2 linked regions of the Drosophila melanogaster genome follow. The protein of the gene in region 2 interacts with the protein of the main gene of each other region in a pairwise test. Each region holds a gene or a part of one and is shown on either strand. Other genes may lie near its edges.

Evidence for each region. The genes of interacting proteins can lie anywhere in the genome.
Region 1: the proteins of CG32204 (region 2) and CG10311 interact in a two-hybrid assay, tested with the Drosophila melanogaster proteins (one large-scale study listed by BioGRID).

Annotation. Positions count from the first base shown.
Region 1 is NT_033777.3:16,355,278-16,359,033, forward strand, and holds the start of CG10311 (uncharacterized protein), read right to left. Parts: upstream 1,739-3,756; 5' UTR 1,523-1,738; intron 1-1,522. Other genes in the region: CG17931 (uncharacterized protein), read right to left, coding at 3,265-3,334, 3,406-3,511.
Region 2 is NT_037436.4:18,944,106-18,947,861, reverse strand, and holds the start of CG32204 (uncharacterized protein), read left to right. Parts: upstream 1-1,823; 5' UTR 1,824-2,129; intron 2,130-3,756.

The sequences.
Region 1 (3,756 bases), on a different chromosome or scaffold from region 2:
TGAGATACTTTTCGTTCTGTCGACACTACATAGTTTTCAGGGTCAATGAAGCCGCGACATTGGACGCGATCAAAAACTCAATTTTCGGGGATCTTTCGGATTTTGGGCTTTTCGTTTTCCCAGCCAAACGAAAGTTAACTCATAAACAGATCGCCCATCAAAATGATTCATATATAAAAACACGAAACACTTATTAATAGATCACAAGGTCGCGAGCAACTAGAAATCTAGAGAGTCGACAAAAGCGGTGGAACTTTTGGAACAGCTCTCACAATCTCTGATCAGTGGCTGTCTGGGGTCAGGAATGGGACTCCACCTTATGATTTTCAACACCTGTTCGTCGAGAATTCTACGCCCATGTGCCATCTCGTATGGCGTAGGTGTGCGAACGCCTTGGCTTGTTCTGCCAGAATATTTTTTGTCAAATAAAATTTGGTGGCGTTATCTGTTGCCTTGTAAATTGAGTAACCTTCACATTGTTCATTTTTCACTGCTTCCAAGTGGATGCGCGTCACTGAACTTTGCCAAATGTGGATGGATTAGAAACAGTTTTGTCTTGAAGACCGTTTATTTCCCTTTATAATTACTTCCCAGGAGGAGTGGCCACTTAAGATTCAATGAACGACGCTTTCATTTGGGGCTTTGATGTGATTTTTATGGTTCGCGACTGAGGCGAATAGCCAAAATGTGGCTCAGTTGAAATGTATGCCAGGCGCGCATATTACGTATACGCCCCCGCACACCTGAACACTGGGCTGGATGGCCCACTTATCCCTAAACTCGCAACGTGTTCAACTTGAGGTCCCCAAAAAGGCAAAGAAGAAGGCTTTCAGGTTGTCGCCGTTCGCAGACTTTCAATGTCAGTTCGCAATTCTGACATCACCGAGTGCATCGACTATATAGATCGCTATGCCTGCAGCAAACAGACTGACTCTGTTTTCATTAAGATGCATTCATTTTCTCTGCCAATTTGGGTCAGCGATCAAACAGTGGCATTATTGTTTTCCAATTATTTATACGCTGCGGTTTTCTCAATTTTACCGCAGCTTTTGCGGGCGCTCAGAAAAGTAAAAAAGTCAGGGGGTTTAGCTATCAGCGATCATTTGAATATTGAAATTACTGGACGGCCAGCCAGCAGCGACAGCTTAATGAAATTGAATATATTTTGTATAAATAAGCACATACAACCGCAAGGCAGACGAGCGCGCCTCAAGTCGGGTAACTGGCTGTATAGTATAGATAGGTATATGAGTATATGGCTACTGGGGGCTACCTACTCCTCCCACTCCTCACGCCGCCCTTCCCCGAGAAACACTTCTGTTTGATCACACATATGCATATGTATCCACCTCCGGGGGCCAGCTGCTCGCCTGTTATTTCAATTTCGAGGCGATCGTTTATCACTCGATTTGCATGCGACGGCGATCGATTGATCTCCCGATCCGCCCAATCGGCTGCCAACTGCCTGCATTTCTCCGCTGATAATGTCAGTCTCCTGGCAGCCAGCCATATATTCACTTACACTTTCTAATTTATTTTTGATTTGATGGTGCAGCACTGCTAAATGCAGTCGAGGGAAATCGATTTGATTCCGCTGATTCGGCTGCCTCCTAACTAATTATTCTCATATATTTGATATTTGCCTCCTCCAAGTGCGTAGCGTTTCGAGGCGATTTGGATCCGACGACTTGCGCGCGATTTCGATGTGAGTGCGACGGGTTTCACGGAGCGACTGAAAACGCGGGCTGCTGCCGCCAACGTGAGAGCCGACTCGCGATCGCGATTTTTCACATCTGCGAGCGTTAGTTGATTTTTCCGCTCGTTCTCGGCTAGCTGGCTGAAAAGTTCTCAAAACTTGGACGCTGTTTTTAGTTAAGACAGCTTTTGCGTGACCGGCAAGAAGCTTTCTCCGAGGCAGAAACAGCAGAAACCAGTTAGGCGTTTCGATGGCCCACGTTGCTCTGCTGTTCCGGCATGAAGATATCAAGCACTTGGTCAAACAATGGTGAGGCGATCTTCTACAGCGCATTGCACTAGCCAAGTCAAACAAATCAGTGGACGTTCTCATTACATCCGTGTTGTTTTCCTCGTTGAAGGAACTCGAGATTTCAGCCGAAGATACATCAGCACGCCATGACCCCATCTGCCTTTATTGGCCATGAATAAGACCGTGCACTGTGGCACAATGTATGAAGATCTATTCGAAAACAGATAGGTATTCCAAAAGATAAAAGTCACAGTATTTAAGTTTCAATGACTTAGTTTACCAGTCTTGCGCAAAATTCGTTGTTGTTTCTTGATATCTTTTCTTATACATAAATAAAATAAAATTAAACTAAAACTGAAATTTTATTTAGCAGCATGTTTTTTGTGTGCATCTGCCAGTCGTTAGTGGCCAGGTTTTTGGTCATTTATTCTGTAAAAGGTAAATGCTAGCAATCGACTTATTGGCATCTAGGCGATAGTTTTGTGGGGCAAGCTTTGGCATGCAGCTACTTTCATATTTATCAAATCGTGCCATTTACAAATATCCATATTCCATTGTATGCAAATTTCAGCATGACTCGAGGCAAATTAAATACCTCATTAGGTCATGCTTAAATCAGACCAGGAAGTTTAGTAGGTCGTATCCAGCGCCCTATTCATACTCCGATTTTAAAGATCTAAGGCTTATATTTAACATTCTTGAGCTATACTTATGGGGATTGCTCTGGGATTATCAATCTTTATATCTCTCTCTTCGGCGACCATATTTGCTAGAAAAGGGATTCATTAGTTAAAGTTAATTTTCGGTAGCAATCGACCGTTATCGAGTGCCATAATCTATATATATATTTTCGTCAAACACAATAACACATAATTGAGTCTTTCTGTCGGCTGCATATTATGTTTTATTTGAAAATTTATATATATACATTACAGTAAATAATTTAGTCAGGTAGGTGGAGAAATAAAATGTAAGATTACTTAATTATCGTACAGCAGCACTGCAAACGAAAATGAACAAAAACCGGAACAGAATCGAAGTCCTTGGGTGGCACTTGCTATTGCTATTGCTATGTCGCGTGCTGTACAGCCCGGTAATATCTATGCGTAGTTGTATACAATTCTCGTGAATTATGTATGTTGCTTCATGTACATTCTAACCAACTATCCTAGGTCCTTGGGCGAATCGGGGTCTTGGCTGACGAACGACTGACTATAAGCCTAACCTGTCCGGAAATGCAACCGGGAGTCCAGATCTCTATCAAGCCAGTGGGTTGACTATTTGCTTGTGCCCGCCGCAGCGGCCTCTTCCTTTTTTTTCTGCTTCTCCCGCATTAACTCAGCGTCCCTGCGTTATGGGTTGGTTTATTAATAATATTATATCTTATACATTATACATTGAAAATGTAAATCACTCACCTGGCCTTCCTTTGCTCCACGGTGAGGTTATCGGTTCGCTTTCCCTTGGTCAAATCCGCCTGCTTCTTCTGGTTCTTCTGGCGGGCCAGGTCTCGTTGGTTGCCGCCTATTAAATTGGTGATATTATAATTGGTTAATACGTGGCAGCTGGTTAGTGGCGCGTGCTAAATGTGATCTACATAATCTATGAGAGGTTAGAGGCGTTCACATGTCCTCTGCTTGTCCATCGATTTTTGCCTGCTCTATACGCGAAAACCCAGGATTACTTTCGGGTCGAAATTCTAATTCTCTTATCATATTTTGGAGATTACGATTTTGCATGACACTGGAGGTAATCCTAGTTAATTTGTT
Region 2 (3,756 bases):
TTTTGCTGCCGCCCTTCCACAAATTCTGTTTTGTTTTATTCTTCGTCTCAAATGGCAGACCCGAAACCCATTCAGATCAAGAATTTACACCCAAGTTGAATATGTCGAATTGGGGATACCCAGTGATTGGAAATCATTTGAATACGCTGGTAGTTAGTAGCACTGCATCCAACAGATACAAACTTGCTTGCAACTTGTTGTAAATAATTAATGAAGATTATTAATATACTAAGTAACAATCCAACGGATGCCTGATTACCACATTAGTGAGAGACCCATAAAGATTACAGATTGAGGGGTATCCCACAACCCGTGGCCCGAAACCCGCATCGGCAGCCCTTTTTTGCATGGTGCGCTCCACTTGGGGCGCAGTGTGGCGTAAAATGAATTGAGACATTCGGGCTCGCATAGAAAAACCCGGATCCTCCGGCCGAAAACCGCAGAGGTTCGGAGGTCCTTCAACAACAACTTCTGTGCTCTGCAGCGCCCTGAATGCAAAAGTGGCAAAAGTGGCAAAAGTTTTGCACCACTCGGCCGATGAACCACTTGAGCCCCCCACTTTGTTGTGCATTCAGGTGTGAAGTTTTTGGTCGGCGCACAAAAGTATGCTACAAATAATTAAATCATGCAAGGCAATTGCTGGAGTGTGTTTGTGTGGAAAGAGAGAGAGAGAGAGCGCGAGAGGGAGATGAAGAGACCGGAAACACTCGCTCCTTCTCCCTCGCGGCGAGACAAGTTCAATGCCGCCTTAAGGTCCTTGTCAGCCTGCCATCTAGTTTGATATTATCTAATCGATATTTATATTCCTAGCTCGCTGCCACCGCTCCTCCCGACCTTTCATATTCCTCCCTCGTCTGTTTTTCACGAATTGGAATTTGCATATGACACAGGAGCTGTGGACCCACAAAAACAAGGAGGCGAAAGCCTGTAAGAACATTGGAACGAGGCCGAAACGAAATCGCCAGTGGCAAAACACGCTGGCCTCTTCCATCACGCTGGTTTACTTTTTGCGATGGCCGGCATTTCCGCTTCCGCTCAAAATGCACACCGAAACGTTCAATTACGGAGCCAGAGAGAAAGTTCAACTTTAATAATTTGTTTTTTGTAAGTGAACTGTACGTTTTCCGGCACACTCTGAATCCAGTTTTTTTTTTCGAAAAAAAACAATGTTATTGGAAGTAGTAACATCAATATAATTCCATTTTTGAAAACTTTTATTATGTAGATAAATAGAGAACTATAAAAAACAGATAGCCAACTCGTACTTTAAATTTTTTTCGTGCTTTATATTACTCTTACCAGATAATTTAACAAAACCCTTGCTATAAAACAAAGGAAAGACCACGAAAAGCAACCATATGGAACCGTCAGAAACCAAAACTCACGTCGAGATAAATTGAAGTTTATTTGCTCGACTGCTTGCGGCTGCTGCACTTTTTCCAACTTTTCTTCTCCTGTTTTTGGCAGACACTATTTGCTCTTCTCACCTGCATAATTTATAAGCTAGAAATCATTTGCATGCAGTTTCCTTGCACTTTGTTTGCCTCCGTTTTCCGATTTTCCTTATTTTTTTTTTGAACAGGAAGCGTGGAACACAAGCTGCCAAGAATGTGAAATGTTTGTGTTTGACTTTGGCTTCGATATGTTGCACTTAAAACAATTGACGGCAAACAGGGGGAAGGTATCCTGTGATTTGGTCTAAACATGAAAACTGGTCAAAATGTATCTCTTCCGTTCGTTTTCCGACGCTCTCGCCAGAGGAAAGCTCTTCGGGAAAAGCTCCACTCGGATTTTCCTTATAAACGTAGAGCACTGATAAAAACTCGAGCAGTTACCGTTTCGGTCGCGTAACGACAGCAGCAAAATCCGAGAGCTGCGTTCGTCATTAAAGCCAAAACAATCAAAAACAACAAGACCGAATATATGAAAGTAACAGTTCAGAAAACAGACGAAATTCTCACCGCAACTCGCCGGTAAAAAGTGGGAATAAACAAATTGGATATACAATTAATTTTGCGCGGAGAAAAAAACTGAGCGAAGCAAACAGAAAGTGTTTTGTTAGTGCAAAGTGTGAAACTCAAATAAACTTTACAATTGGTGAATTAATAAACCGAAGCTCCACAAATGAGGTAAGTCAAAAGAAGCGTAAAAAGAGCTATAGAAGCTGAGTCAAATTAAAAAACCCCAGAGGAAATGCGCTAATTAGGAAGGTAACAAATGCTGAAAGAAGAAAAAGTTTTAATGTGCCATGAGATAAAATTAAGCAGATGGCAGCTTAAAAGTAAAAGTGGTAGGACCTATAAATGTTCAAGGATTAATCCACAACATATTTACTAAACAAATGCAACAAATAAGCCTAGCTAAATAGTCCTTAGTTTTTTACAGTTTTAATCTAAGGTCTTCAGCAACTGTTATTCACTTCAAAATCACTTTCATTTACTCTTCAAAATATACAAGTGCAAAATACCTTTTCATTTAAAAGTTGATATTCATGCACTTCAGCCCCTAACACTCGTTCAAAATTCTGCGAAGCGTACCGAAATCACATACAGAAATCACTCAAAAAATGTTTTATTTCGTCTGCCTCCATTTCACAAAAAAAAAAACGGTATAAAATCCCAGGGGGAAGTGGCAATTTAACGGCAGTTTGTACCCAGACAACCTTTAAAGCCCTGTTTCGACTGCCTTTAGCCCGCTCCGAAATGGGTCTTTTGAGTTTTGCAGCTACTGTTGGCCTGGTGGAACGTATGGGCTTAAGTTAAGCACGCAGGACCAAGGTTGGGATAAAAAATAAATTTGGAGCACGAAAAGTAAAAGCGATGCTCAAGTGGCACGGCGCTTAACACAAATTAGACGCACTTAATTACGGCCCAAACAGTCGCAGCTAGCGGTCGTAAAATGTATAAAAAATATTATTGGAACCACAACCGAGCCAACATCAGGCAAATATATTTAAGCAGTTCACCAGAGAGAGAGTGGTTTAAGAAGTGGCTGTGGGTCTGCAGGAGGGTACTTTCAATTTCGGGCATTCAGAAGTTGCGGCTTAAAACTCAATTAAACGAATTGGCAAAAATTTAATTACAATTTCAGTTTCCTTTTCGTTTTTAAAGGAGATCACCAAGGACCCTTCGCACAGAAAAAGAGCCAGGGAAAAAGAGGATGGGCGATGCGGAATGGGGCTGAATGGATGCTAGATAGACAAGGCAGCGGGCAAATTGTTTTGCCAGCTGCTGGCAAAGTTCATAAAAAACTAATAGTAATGCAAACTGAAAACAATTAACTGCGTTTATGAGAGGGAAATGACTCAAGCTCGAAATGCTTGGGATTAAAGAGAAACTTTGATAATAAAGCCATCGTCTTATGAAATATATAATTAATATGTATTATTATAAAAACAAACTTTGATTGTCATATTAACTTCAAAGAAAATGTGAATGCAAATTTCACAATTCTATATGCACACTGCCAATCTAAAATCTAAAAGCTAATGGTATTTAATATAAAAAGTTTGAACTTTAGAAAACATACAATAAGAGCTCGTTGAAATGTTCTTGTATCGAAATAAATAGTAGCTAATTACATATTTAAATTTCGAAAACTTACAAGTCTGCCCACCCATATTGGCCAACCAAAGTTTTCCCGCCCGAAGCTCAACCCTTCCGCTAATGCCAACAACTTCGGGAACAACAACAGCCATTTCCTGTTCCTCTGGGCCCCAAGTTAGCCACGTTTTATCTGCCGAACAATAGGCTCATT